Notamacropus eugenii: one gene and its partner. The protein of the gene in region 1 purifies or fractionates together with the protein of each later gene. This does not show direct contact. Links are inferred from orthologs where the notes say so. Each region holds a gene or a part of one and is shown on either strand. Other genes may lie near its edges.

The links. The genes of interacting proteins can lie anywhere in the genome.
Region 2: the proteins of THOC1 (region 1) and DDX39A purify together in Homo sapiens (affinity purification with mass spectrometry; 3 studies listed by BioGRID and IntAct, with this or other methods). This does not show direct contact. The link is inferred for Notamacropus eugenii from reciprocal best matches to the Homo sapiens genes THOC1 and DDX39A.

The regions. Positions count from the first base shown.
Region 1 is NC_092875.1:244,524,538-244,531,744, reverse strand, and holds the start of THOC1 (THO complex subunit 1), read right to left. Parts: upstream 3,020-7,207; 5' UTR 2,976-3,019; coding exon 2,922-2,975; intron 1-2,921. UniProt on the Homo sapiens protein: Component of the THO subcomplex of the TREX complex which is thought to couple mRNA transcription, processing and nuclear export, and which specifically associates with spliced mRNA and not with unspliced pre-mRNA.
Region 2 is NC_092875.1:76,522,853-76,530,357, reverse strand, and holds the start of DDX39A (ATP-dependent RNA helicase DDX39A), read right to left. Parts: upstream 3,015-7,505; 5' UTR 2,827-3,014; intron 1,985-2,826; exon of another isoform or gene 1,893-1,984; intron 394-1,892; 5' UTR 388-393; coding exon 180-387; intron 1-179. UniProt on the Homo sapiens protein: Helicase that plays an essential role in mRNA export and is involved in multiple steps in RNA metabolism including alternative splicing. Regulates nuclear mRNA export to the cytoplasm through association with ECD.

The DNA of each region.
Region 1 (7,207 bases):
GACCTACCTTTTTAGTTCAGTCATGCAAACAGGTCTGAAGTCACCTAAATACTTTATCATCTGGCCTATACGTCTCCATCTTATCCACCAGGAGAGTATGAGAAACTGTCAAATACATTGCTAAAATCTAAATAAATTACATTTAAACATTCCCTGAATTTTCCAGGCTAATTACCTGTCTAAAAAGGAAATGAGGCTAAAATGGCATGCCCTGTTCTTGCTGAAGCTACACTCACTCTTTGTGAACATTACTTTCTTTTTCAGGCGTTCACTAACCATCTTTATAATAATATATGTCTAGAATTTTGCCAGGAGTCAAGGTCAAACAATGGCCTATAGTTTGCAGCTTCCTTCATCCCTTTCTTGAAAGGGTATTTGCCCTTCTCCATTTCTGTAGCATCTCTTCTATTCTCCAAGATCGGTTTTAAAGTGGGTTTTATTGATTTTTATACATCACAGTCATTCCTGAATGATTAACTCTCTTTCCCTTCCACTGAACCCTTCCCTATAACAAACAATTAAGCAAAAACAAATGAAAGTCACCATGGCTGACAGCGTATAACATTCTGTACCAAGATGCTCTCTATCTCTTTACTTCTCTTTGTTTTCAGCTCTCTAGGAGCCATTTTTGTTTTGTCCTTTCCAATCCACACACCATTCTCCTTGACAAAGAAAACAAAAGCAAATTAAATGTTGGATAGCCCTTATTCCTCTGTCATCATCACCATCATTCTATCTCTTCTTAATAGTAATACTGCCATGGGAGGATACAACAGACCACCTAAACAGAAGGAGCAAGTAAATGAGTTTGGGAAATAGGTCAAAGCTGGGTATTGACACATAATACAGTAGTGATGACAGACTTCAATTATCAGTTCATCTTCCAGCTGTCTCTCTTGATGTCCAAAAGAAAAAAAGTTAATAAATTACTGACCAATCAAAATGTAGAAGCAACAAGGTACTGGACTTGAATCTAACCAACAAGGAGTTTGCTGAAACAGAAATGAGGGCAACTTTGTAGGTGGATATCCCTGCATCTCAGAATTTCTCCTAAGGAAACAGAAAGCTTATCATAATTTCATATGAACCTTAGATTTTGAGAAGCCAAACTTCAGAATTCAGAAAGTGAATGCCCTTACCTAAAATTCTATGGAGAAAGCTCAGAAGGGATTTAAAAACAAAATGCTGAAGACACAAAGAGAAAAGATTGCAATGAAGAGAGAAAAGAATTGTCTAAAAAGCCTGTGTGGATTCACAGGAAAATAACCAATCAACCAAAATAATTGATTATATAAAATAATGACCTAGTCCCATAAGAATAAGATTAAAATACAGAATGAGTTATACTGTACATGTAAGTATATAAATAACATGCTAAGGACTACAAAATGGGTTTTTAAAAAATTATGTTGAGAAAAAGAGGAGGCTCGAATAAGGGAAAGGATCATTGGTTAGGGTAGATAAGATGATGTCACAAAATCACAGAATTTGAGAGCTGGGACATGTAGTCCACTTGACAGCAGAAAATATGTCCTACAAAATGATCAGTCAGCCTCTGCTTGAAGACCTCTAAAGGAGATACACACCAGGTCTAGACAGTGAATATGATTAAGTGGTTCCTCTTAGAAGAACTACAAATGACTAGGGGATCGATTTTAAATAGTAACTTGGAAAAAAGAACGCATGGAAAATAACACCAATGTCATATCTACTATTTCCCCCCTCCCCCAAATCATTTTGCAAAGAAAACATCAGCATGTAAGGAAATTTATACAGTGACAGCATAAAGGATCAGTTTTTTTCTTTAGAGCTCCTACTTCTGCACCAATTTACATGACCATGTAATTAAGTATGTTAATTACTCAATCAAATCTTGTACAACAGGTATGAGTCATCTAACAGCATTAAACGAAGAAAATAGCTAAATAAGCAGTGGGATGGTGGGGGGAATCGCCCTAGTTTAGGTAGGTATAAGATCTGGGTTTGAGATCCTGATCCACCAGAGGGGACAATGAAGAAGTCGCTGAACCGACACCTCAGTGTCCTCACCTGCAAAGATACCTGTGGATCTTCCTCGGTGGAGGGAGTGTCCAGTAAAAAGAAAATTTGACATAATTGTACATACACAGGCGCCAAGTCCCGGGGGTGGGGGTGGGGGGTGGAGGGGGTGTGAGTGTGAAGCGCTGTCACGACGGAGCTAGGCGGAACACCTGCAGGTTTTTCCCAGCGGGCCCTCTCCACACCCACTCTCAGTCCACGAGGAGATCTCCCCCAGCACTTCCCCCGCGTCGTGCTGCAGCCTCTGCCCACTTCACACGTTATTTTGTGTCATGACCTGTCATGTCCCATCTACCCCCCGGCACCCAGCAGGGTGCCTCAGGACACAGCAGACGCTTCACACTTTTGGAAGTCGGAATTTACCCTTGATTTTAGCCAAAAGCGAAAGGAAGGCAAACGAACCGCCGAGCTCACGATCGACGCTGGCGCGGGGCGGACGCGAGCTGTGGGGTTCTCAGACGCAGCACGTTTAAGTGACAGCCCCCCACCCCAGCCCTCAACTGTCTTCCCTCCTCAGGCACAGGCTGACCACCCACCCGCCCCCGGCGCCAGCGCTTTCCCGCCTCTACCCTCAATGGGGAGGCGGCGGAGGAGCTCTGCGTGGGGAACCAGGTGTGGCGAGAGTCGCGAGGGACACGCGGGGAGTGGGAATGCTGCCGCGGTTGGGGAGGCAGAGACGCGCGCGCTGAAGGGCCAGGTAGCCTGCCCCTCCCCCCAAAAAACCAGTAGAGAACGCCGCTGTGTACACACGTCCCCTGCTCTGGGTTCCTCCCCGTGGGAGAGCCGGTGTACCACGGAGAAGGCAGAGGAGAGAAAGGGGAAAAAGTGGTTTTCGGCCACCCCCTCCGCTTCCTACATCTCACCGTAAACCGAGTCTGTGCTTCGGGGAAACTGAAGAGAGGCGGCGACGGAGACATCTTCTCGCTTGCGCGTGCCCGCTAACGCGCCGTGGCGCCCCCTGATGACGCAGGGTCCCAGGCACACAGCGAGCTCCTTTGCGCGGCTAGAGCGGCACCGGGCGGTTGTGTGGGACGCATGCGCCGTCGGCGGAGGGGGCGGAGCTCTGGCGGAGGGGCCGGTATCGCTGCGCCGGCCGCAGAAGGAAGGAGGTGTTTCCGTGTTCTGCCAGCGGTGGTGGCGCGAGGGCTGTGCTCGCCCCGGAACACCTGGTGGTTGTGCGGATCCTGTCCGTTGGTATCGAGCGGGATTCGGAGAAAAGGTGTCTCCCTCTCGCGTTAGCACCTCAGTGATCCCTGTGGCGCGAGGCCCGCCCCCTTCCTCTCCAGAGCCCCGTTCGCCGCCGGAGAGCTCGGACGCGGTCCGGGCCGGAGCAAAAGTGGGCGAATCCCCCCTCCGGCCCACCCTTGTCGCGCTTCCTGAAGGGGCGACCCTGCTGCTCCCCTCTTGTCCCCGCTGCCCCTTTGTCCGTTGAGCTCGCCGTCCACCCTGAGGCCTCCCTAGGGCATAGAAGTGACCCGACCCGGGCTCTCGAAGTCGTCCCTAAAGCCCGTCCCCCGGGGGGCGCTAACAAGCCGGGAAAGCTTGGATTCGAATGAAGCCCCCAGCCTGCCTCTCCTTGGAGGGCCTCGTCACCGGAGGGACCCCCGAGAGATGGAGTTGGGGTCGTAGCTACTGCCGGTCCGCCAAGGCGTAGCTTGGGTGCAGTGCCAGCACCGGGGAGATCGTAGGTCCGGGGAGCTGTTGCTGGGCCGTTTGGCGCTTGGGGTGGGGGTGGGGGGTACGTTGGTCCTCTTTTTTCCTTGAATTCTCTCTTTCCTGTTGCTTCAGGAGACCAAGGGTGAGCGGGTTTGGAGTCAACAGGAAAAAGGACAGGGGGGTATTTTGTTTGCAGTCATCCGACAAGTCTGTGGTGACCAGATGTTTCTATTTCAGTGATTTAAAAAAAAAATTTGATGTGTTTTTATGTCTTAGTTACTTCCCAGTAAGCGGCTCTCCTTCCACCTCACCCTGTGGTGCCATCATTCCCTTAAAAAAAGTTAAGCAAAGAGCAAAACCATCTAATGTAACAGCCTGACCTAAAGCACATTTAAATGCTCATTCTGGCAAATGAATTGCTGGAAGGATTTACAAAAGAGGTTACAGGTGCCATAGCAGAGTTATGAAGATAAGAATTGAGGAGGGTGTGGATTCTTTCCATATTTTGCAGCATTTTTTTGAAGTCTTTTAAGTTGTTCATCTTAATTTGGTGTATGATGTCTAGTGTCCTATTTTTTCCTATCAGTCTTTGAAACAGCAGTTTATTTTTTCTTTAAAAATTTGCTGAACTGCTCTTTTAATTTTTCTTCCAAAACATTTTAGCCTAGCCTCCCATGGCTCCCCCTCCCCCACTATCAGCTGAGAATCTGGCCTCATATTTTCTAGGGGACAAAAAATTGAAGACATTTGCTGCCTTCTCTCTCTTCTGTGCTCTGCTTCTTCACCCCTGTCTCACATAATGAAGGAGCCTTACTAAAGGACTTACCAAAGGCAACACTTTAGTTGTTCAAGGGATCCCATTCCATTGTCTCCAACAGATTAATGTGCCCCCTCTGTCATCTCCACTCATATTTATTTTCAATCTCTCCTCTACTGCCTCATTTTCTTCTGCCTACAAACATCTCTCTGTCTCCCCTATCTTGAAAAAACCCTCACTGCTAATTACCATCCTATATCTCTTCTATCCTTTGTGGCTAAATTCCTAGAAAAGGCCTCTACTTTCACTTCTCTCTCTTCTTAACCCCTTACAATCTGGCATCTGATCTTATCATTACACTGAGACTACTCTTTCCAAAGTTACTAATCTCTTTATTTGACAAATCCAATGGCCTTTTGTCCATCTGCATTCTCTGTGACCTCTCTGCAGCCTTTGACATAGTTGATCACTCCTCATTGATACTGTTTTCTCTCTAGGTTTCCAGGACACTACCTATCTGGATCATCCTTCAGATCATGCCCTCTAATTGTGGAGATCCTTTAGAGTTCTGTCCTGGGCCCTCTTTTTTCTTTATATTACTTCGCTTGGTGATCTCATCAGCTCCCATGGGTTTAGTTATCTCATTGCTGATTCTCCAGTCTCCCATCACCAGCTGCCTTTCAGACATCTTAAACCAGATGTCCAGTAGACATCTTAAACTCAGTATGTCCAAGACAAATCTCATTGATCCTCTGCTACCTCCTACCTTCCATATTCTTGTGCAGGCTAACAACATTGTCCCAATCCCTCTGGCTTTGCAACCTAGGAGTCATCTTGTAGTCCTGTCACTCATTTCATCTCTCCCCCCAACTCCCCCACTACACACACCATATCAAATCTGTTGCCAAAGCCTGTTGGTTTCACTTTTGGAACATCTCTCAAATATACCCTCTTCCTTCTTCTGACATTGTCACCACTAGTACAGGAGCTCATCATCTCACACCTTGATTATTACAATAGCCTGCTGGTAAGTTGGCCTGCCTCAAGTCTCTCCCCACTCCAATCCATCCTCTATTCAACTACTAAAGTGATTTTCTTAAAACACAGTTCTGATCATGTCACTCCTCTTCAATAAATTATTAGTGACTCCTTATTGCCTCCAAGAGCAAAAACAAAATGTTCGGTTTGGCATTCAAAGCCCTTCATAACCTATCCCCCTTCTCTCTTCTTATAACGTACTCTCCTGCATATATTCTTTGATCCAGCAACACTGGGCTCTTGGTTGTTCTGATGAACAAAATGCTCCGTTTTTGTGGCTACAGGCACTCTCTTTAGCTGTCCCTCATGCCTGAAATGCTCTCACTTCTCATGTCCACCCACTAACCTCCCTGACTTCTTTTTAAGTCTCACCTAAAATCCCATCTTCTCCAGGGACCCTTCTCCAACCACTCTTAATTCCAGTGCCTTCACTCTGTTAATTATTTCTTATTTATCTCATATATAGATTGCTTTGTATGTATCTGTTTGCATGTTGGCTTTCCCATTACACTGTAAGTTCTTTGAGGGCAGGGATTGTCTTTTGCCTTTTTTTAGTACCCTGCCAGGGCTTAGCTGGACACAGAGTTGTTGTTCATCCTTCATTTTCAAATAGGGCCAGTGACATCATTGGGTGATGAGTTGTTTGAGCAAGTTAGGTTAAAGTGAAGACAGAGTTGCACAAAGTCATCAGCCTCACTCTCTCTTCCAGAGTCATCTAAGTCAAGTGGCAAGACAGAAGTCAACACAACTGGCAACAGCTCAGGATACAGTGGCATGTGCAGTGCCTAACTAAACTCTCAGCCCTCCACAGCACCTGCTGTAACCATCTTCCTGTCCCTGTTGAGATAAATTATTCTCATCTACCCATTCACATGCTTGGAGTAGATGTCCTCCTAACTCACCAACAGGTGTGAAGCCTTTTGGTTACTCTCACCCTGGTTTTGTCCATCTGCTGAGACACTTTTACCAGGGTGTGGGCAGTGTACCGTGCTATAGCATTTTGGAGTCACAGTGAGAGCTGAGTCGCAGGTGGACCCCAAAGGTGGATAAGCAGCCCTGAAAAGGGCCCAGCAAGCCCTCACACTAGAGGTGCTAGTGGAAGAATAAACTCAATGCAAATTGATTGATAGATTGATTGTAAGGAGATCTCACTAAGTAGGAGAGTGGAGAGAAAATTAATATAAAAGCATCAGTTTTTTTAAAAGGCTAAAGAGTTTGGTTAAGAAGTAGCCCCTTGTCTTACATGGAGTTTTATTACTGTTAATGGTTAAATTCATAATAAAAATTGTTTTAGAAAAAATTGTCTCACATTAGGAAATTATATGATTTTGTTTCATTGCCTGAGGTACCTTAAGTATGATACAGCTTCTTTGTCTTTCCCATTACTTTCTCCTTTGAGAATTTGAATTCAGCTGTGTCTCAAATCCTGACAGCCACTCCCGATTTTCTGGCATTTGCTAAAGAATTGTAAATTTTATTGCAACCTCTTGTTCTAAATCTGTATTTGACCTTATGCTTTAGGTGTGTTTCCTGTAGGCAACGTACTGTAGGGTCATACTTTTAAAATCCTCTTTGTAGGGGAATTGAATTCAGTTACATTAAATATTATTATTGTTTGATTTTTAGTCAAACATATCCTATTATTTGTTTTATGTATTTCACTAGTGTTAATCTAATTCTAGCCTTTGCCCTCATGCA
Region 2 (7,505 bases), about 170 Mb from region 1:
AGAGCAAACTGAATAACTGCTGTTCTAGATGAGCAAACCTGATCAAATCAGGTACTACATGTAAAGCACTTTGCAAACTTCATAGTGCTATATAAATGTTAGCCATTATTATTCACCAGAAATACTACCTATTTCTGTGAATAGCTGGAACTGCGAAAATGGAAGGGGGAGAGGCCTACCTTCAGATGGATGCTCAAAGCCACAGTCCACAATAGCCCTCAGAAGCTCTGGCTTCAGAAGGAAATCCCTGAAGCCCGAGCTATGAATGGAGACATAGGAGCCCTTCACATCCTTCTTGGCAGGCGTAGGTGTGCTCTCTGTCATGGGCTGGGGCTCCTCATCCTCTTCATAATCAAGCAGTTCATTCTCCACATCTTGTTCAGCCATTCTGCCCTGAGGAGAAAAGAAAGATGTAGCTGGTTCATCACAGATGGCAGGAAGAAGGGCAGTACCTGCTTTTCCAGGCCACTGACAGAGAGAGGACAGGGGTCAACCAAGTGCTAAGTACAAAAAGACAAAAACACAGATCCCCCTCAATCCCTGGACACATCAAGAGTCCAAAAGTCCTTTTGCACTGTCTGTACTAGAGATTCTAACTCCTCAAATCAAAGCTGGAAGCCAGCAAGCACCATGAATCTTGCCCTCCTCATGGCCATTTCTGCCTAGCAAACTATCTTATCAGACAACCAACATATTTGAATACTTGTGTTCAATACCCATCTGCAGTAGGCACGGAGTGGAATAAGTACCAGGGAGACTCAGCAGTGGAAAACTCACAAGCCAGTTAAGACAAGACCACACATTCTAGAGGCATAAGGTAAAAAATAAAGTTCACTACTAGGGATGGGCAGATTGCTGCTATAGAGCCCCAACTTAAAACTGCTCTTTCTCCCTCTATTTGGGGCTCATACTACACCACCCTTAGTTAGAATGCTTTTATTAAAAAGCCTCCTGCCAAGATGTAGATCTATACCAGCATACAGATCATAATACCTACTTCTATCACCTAAGCTTCTTAATTAGGTTAATATAGCCTGAAAAGAAGAATCCGATTAAAAGGCAGTACTTATTTTAATCCATGCGTTAAAATGTATTTATGACAAAACCTTGTAGTTAAAAGAAAATTTAAGCCAAATATTCTCTGCCACAGAACTTGGGAACTTCAAATCCACAAACATAGAGGAAGACAAAGACAGGATGAATCAGGTGCCTTCTTTCCTTGGACTCCAAAACACCGTCTTTTTGCTTGATTAAAACATCCAACAAAACTTTTAGCAATGCTTTCCCATCCAATACCAAAAAAATCTACTGTTAACCATCTACATGTTAACCATCTTTGGGACCCCCAAAATAAAGCTTAAAAATGTTCTTCCTGTCACCAAGAACATTTATGATATCACGTCTTCTCTCTCCTGATATTCAGTCTCAAGTTATTTAAAAGTTTGTGTGCCTCAGAATACTAGCTACAGATTGCTGGCTCTCACCCTTAAGAAGCTCACACCTGGAACCAGGTGCTCAGGTAAAGAATTAATAATTTATGAGCACCTAATGAATATGTAATTTAAGCTAGCAATTATAACTTTAAACAAAAACAGGAAAAATTTAGAAAAGTCAGTAAGCACACAGGCCTTTCCACTCTCTTTCCAACCTGTATTAACCTGTGTAGCTGTCCCATAAAGGCCATGGAATTCATGGACACACCGAGTTTTTCTTAACTTTTAATTTCTAGTTCCACATTCTTTCCCTCTCTCCATCCCTTCTGAATTCCTAAGAATACGCTAAAAAATATTTTTTCATGTTCATTTACAAAAGCCTCTGTACAAGTTTACTAGACTGAGTCTACTCCAGAAAAGACTGTTAAAATCCATCCTTTTCAGTGAACTTGTCACTACCTTGAAAAGATTTCCTTTAAACTGTCACCCACCAAAATATTTCCTGTAGCAGCGTGGAAGCAAAAGACTCCAAACCTAGGCCAGCGGGGCGAAAAATCTGACAAGTTATGGAGAAAATACTTAGGAGAGTCTCGGACGCTGGCAACCGCCTAAGTCCAAAGAGCGGATTTATGGGCCAGGGTGGTCCTGGAGGGGCGGATTTTTTCAGTCGGAACTGACTACGCCTTCTGTGAGAAGTGGGGTGCCTGTGGCAGTGGTGAGGGCACCCACATTCAGGAAATCCTGTATGCCTAAACTAATTAGGGAGAGAGAGGAGTGGGGACCGTGGGAGCGAGGGCGCAGTCAGAGGACAGACACGTCCCGGGAGGCTCCGCCAAAGCTTGTGCAGGAGGGGGATCCCCACCAAAGCACAAATTTGAGGGGTTCCCTCTCGGGGACATTCTCGTAAAGTACAAATACGGGAGACTCCCTCCAGGGCACACGGGTGTCCCCTGCGTGGACAGGCGTGGGCGGCGGGCTCCCGATGACCCTCAGACAAATGCTCTGGGGCCCCCCGGCTTGGATCTCGGGGTGCAGACCACAGCTGCGGGGGCAGTCTCCCACGTATTTCATGAGCGAAGGGCGTCCCCGCCGCCGGGCTCCCCAGGCCTCCCGCCCCACGCGGGCCGCGCGCCTTCCGCAGCCCGGCGCCCCAACGGTCGGGCGGCCCGGAGGTGGCATGCGCGCGCCACCTGCCCCGGCCGCGGCTCCGCCCCCGCCCTTGCCCGGCCCGCGGCAGCGCGCGATGAGCTTCCCTGTCCTCCCCGGGGCCTGCGCCATCTCAGCCTCGCCGCGTGCCTGCCGCTTCAGCGTCAACTCCGCAGGCCTTTCCCGGCCCGTCATCTCCAGCGCGCCCAGGACCTCGCGGCCTGCGGCCCCCTCCTCCGCCCCTTACCTCTGAGCTGAGCGCTTGCCTCCGGCTGCCTACACGCGCTCCCAAAGCCAAGAGTTAACTCAGGAGAGGTGTCGCGTTCGAGTGGAAACCGCCTCCCCTACTTCCTTCTCTTCCTGCTAAAATTGGCGCACCACCTCCAAACTTCCCGGCTAACTTGCCTTGTTCACTGGGCTGTCAGCCTTTCACTCAGAAGGGAGCAAGCTCTGATTGGTTGATTGGTCTCGGCCGCGCAACCTATAGAGGGAGAGGGGACGGTCCCAATGTTTCATTGGGCAAAGTCTGCGTCGATCCCGGCGAAAGTCCTTCTGAGTGGTTTAATTAATTCCAAGGGGCCGTCTCGAGATGGGACCATATGACCAGGCCTGGCGAATACCTAGGTGCTACCATACTTACTAATGGCAAGATCATCTAGTGAAGCCAGCCTAGAGCGTTGTGCATTGTGGGTAAAAGGCCGGAACTCCTGTGGATCGCCCTCCTGTGGAGCTCTACTGTCTTCCAGTGCTTCTTAGGGTGTGATAGGGAAGTCAGGCTCCCCAGGTTCCAATCCCAGCCTATCCATAACTACCAATTGTAACTAACAATTCTGGCACCGAGGTCAAGCCCCACAAAACACGCCCAGGTGCTCCCCGGTCAAATTTTGAAAATAAATTCGGCTATTGAGGTGGGGGAGAGGAGTCCTCAGCACCTAAGGCGGGGGAAAATGCAGGAGGGGTCGGGGAGAAGGACCTAAGAGACTCTGTAGACGGGTCAGAGATTCTGGAAAAGCCAGGCGAGGCCAGAGAGGGTGTCCAGGGAGTCCAGGAAGAGCTCCCTAGGATGTTAGCTTATTTTACCTAATTATTCCTGCTATTTAGGCGCTAAGCCAGGTTCTTTCTACCTGGTCCAGGTGCTCTACGATCCGACAACACTTGAAATGAAGCTCTCTCGCTACCCCGTTCCTTTTCCAAATCCATGCCTTCTCACTGTCTTTCTCTTATACCTGAAATGCAATCCCTCTGGTTTCTTTCTGAAATCCCACCACATCCAAGGGATATTTCACAGTATTTCACCCCTCCCTTTGAGTTCATTCCCTGTCATCTATTATGGCTATATCTGGTATTCCTCTCCTAGATCACTGCTGTATTGTGGTAGGTGACTTTGGAAGGTCAGGGAAACTGAGCTATGCCATGCAGGGTTACCCAAGACGGACTGGTCATAGTGAAGAGTTCTGACCAAAGCTCAGTTCTCCAATTCTCACTGGAGAAGGAAATGGCAAGCCACGCCATTAACTCCATAGACTATATTAAAAAGGATAAAGGATATCACACGGGAAGATGAGCCCTTCCGGTGGGCAGCCAACAGTTACTGAGAGAGCCCAGGACAACTACAAGTAGATGCAGTAACTAATGAAGCCATTGGGCCAAAGCCAAAAGGAAGCTCAGTTGCAGATGTGTCTGATGACGAGAGGGAAGTCCAGTGCTATAAAAATCATTATTACATAGAAACCTGGAATGTAAGATCTATGAACTAAAGTAAGCCAGATGTGGTCACACAGAACATGAAAAGATCAAACATCGACCCATTGGGTAAAAGGGGGATGGCAGAGGATGCAATAGATGGTGTCATGGAGGTAATGAACTTGAGTTTGGACAGACTTCAGGAGGTAGACTTCAGGGGTGCTATGGTCCATGGAGTAACAAAGAATCAGATGTGACTGAACAGCACAACAGATATCTTGTATTTACATCATTACTTGTATGTTGTCTTCTCCACTGGAACAAGAACTGCATGAGGGCAAGGATTGAGTTTTTAACCTTTCTTTGTATGCCTTGTGCTTCATAAACACTTAATAAATGCTTATACACTGACTTGGAGCTCTGGAAAAGGGGGACAATTACAATGAGCTCTCCCTAAGTTTCTGAGTCTAAGGACAATGCCGCAAGCAGCTTACTCTGGTTCATTCTAGGTGTAAGGGGTAGCCAGGAGATGGATCATCCTATCTATGGAATAGCAAATAGGTCAGGTCAACTAGATGGCAAAATGCATAGCAGGGAATAATGTGTAAAATGGCTGGAAAGGCAAAAAGAGGCCAAGGTGTGAGGCTCTTGAAAAGTGAAATATAGGAATTTATATTCACTGTAGGTACTAGAGTTTAATGGGGGTGGGAGGGATATAACATGATCAACCAAAAGACTCCATTCACTCCTTCATCAGTCCCCGCTTCAAAGGAACTCACTCAATACATTATGTATTAGATGCCTGCTGTATATTCACACTTATAACCAAAGGTTTGCCAGTGGAAAAGAATTCTTTCAGCTACAGCAAATCAAGAAAAATGTGGAAGGATTAGCATATTTTGTATTTATATCACAATTATGTCCCTGCTAGAAATGAGAGGAGGAAGGGGATAAGCATTTCTATAGCACCTACTATGTTCCTTCCAGACACTGTGCTAAAAATATTACATCATTTGATCCTTACAACAACCCTGCTGGTCAGGTGCTGTTATTATCACTATTTGAAGAAACTGAGGCAGACAAAAGTTAAGTGACTTTCCCAGGATCACACAGCCAGACCTAATGCTCTAGCCACTGCATCACCTATATGCCTCAGGGACATTATGAAAGGATTCTTGCTCAGAGATAGGTTGGGTTAGGTGATTGCTAAGGTCCTTTCCAACTCTGATACTCTGTTGTTTACTGAACACCAGCTATGGCAAAGAAAGGTCTGTGTTTGAGAAAAAGCATCACTGCTCTTTGGGAACTTGTCTTACTGGAAAAATGTCACCTATGGTGACAGAACTGGTATGTGGTAGCCGAGCTCCTCTGACTTCAGATCTGGCTAAGGCTGTGTCACATTGACATTTAACTCAATCCTACTGAAAAAGCAAAGATTAAATACTACCTGTACTTATTAGAGAGTCATCATGGTATAGTGGGAAGAGTGCTGGGCTTAGAGTCAGCTCAAATCTGAGTTCAAATCTGACCTTAGACCCTGGTCAAGTCACTTAACTTCCATTTGTTTCAGTTTTACACAACTTTAAAATGGGGATAATAATGGCCCTTACCTCCCAAGGTGATTATGATAATTATAAAGTACTTAACACAGTGCTTGGTACATAGTAAGCACCATATAAGTATTAGCTAGTAGTAATAATAGTAGTAGTAGTAGTAGTAGTAGTGGTAATAGTGGTAATAGAGAGCTGACCTTGAAATCAGAAAGTCCTGGCTGTGACCTAAACTGGTTGAATGACTTTGAGTGAGTCTTTTAAATTTGTCAAGGCTCCAGGTAACTCTCTGTGATGATAAGTCTCAGAGAAGGTACTGACCTAAATTGGTTAGGAAGAGTTTCCTTACCTGGGAGTTCCCTAAACCAATGAAATCACAGGTCTAGTCTTTATTCCTATGTTGGGTTTTTTTTTTTAAGAGAGCCAGCCTTGTCCAGTAGATGGAGAGCCACCAGCCTTGGAGTCAAGAATAGTTAGTTAGTGTTTATATAGCACTTTAAGGCTTGTAAAGCCCTTAATATACATATATATGTGTGTATGTATGTGTGTACGTGTATGTATGTATGTACATGTATACATATAATATAAAAAATTTCATTTGATCTTCATGGTGACTCTATGAAGTAAGTACTATCATTATCCTCATCTTACAAATAAGGAAAACTTGAGCCTGAAGATATTAAGTGACTTGCTCAAGGTCTTCCATCTAGTAAATGTCTTGGGCAGGATTTGAACTCAGACCTTCCTAACTCCCAGTTCGGTTCTTTAAAGAAGAGCTAGGTTTGAATTCTGCCTCTTACACATACTAGTTGTCTGACTTATAGGGCCCTGGACAGCTCTCTCAGATTGTAAGTTATAGATTGTTGCTTATCTGTATTGACCAGGTATTCCTTTCTGGGGTAGAGAGCCTTTGACCTTGAAACCCCATGTGGCCTTCTAGATCCTTGAGTTGTGACCTTTTGACTGAGTCCAAGTTTTACAGAACAAATTCTTTTATTAAGGGGATTTGTTCTGTGAAATTTGGATTCAGTCAAAAGGCTGCACTCAAGGACCTAGAGGGTCCCATATGGCCTTGAGGCTCCAGGTTCCCCACCCCTTTGAGACCGGGTGTAGTCACATCAATGAAAACCTCACAGGTCTGTCCAGAAAAGCACTTCTGTATGCTACAAGGCACTGTTATCAGTATAAGGACTGCAAAGACTAAGTAAAGGCATGTTCTTGGTCTTAGGTGTCATTCCAGTCTAATACGATTACAGTATATTAGCAAATTAGTATAACAGGAAATCTAAACATGTGTGGGACAAAGAAGTAATTCAAAGTTCTTTTAAAAATTTTTTTTGATTTATTTTGTTAAATATTTTATCCCGATTACATGTAAAGACAATTTTTTTGCATTTTTTAATATTATTTTTGGTGATTTTTACAATTTTAAACTTAAGTACAAAATAAGAAAAGAAACAAATTTAAATACAAAATAAGAAAAAAATTGACGTGCACAGCAGAATGTATGAAAGGATTCAAAATATAAAGCAATTAATTTCCATTTCAATAAAACCTATATAATATAAATAGTACACATTTTGTTTAGAGCTGTCCATCTTTACTTCCTTGCAAGTTTTATTTTGTTTTCTGCAATGTACTTTTTGTTTTGTTCTTTTTTCCCCTTCCTCCTTCCCAAGAAGGTTACAATTAA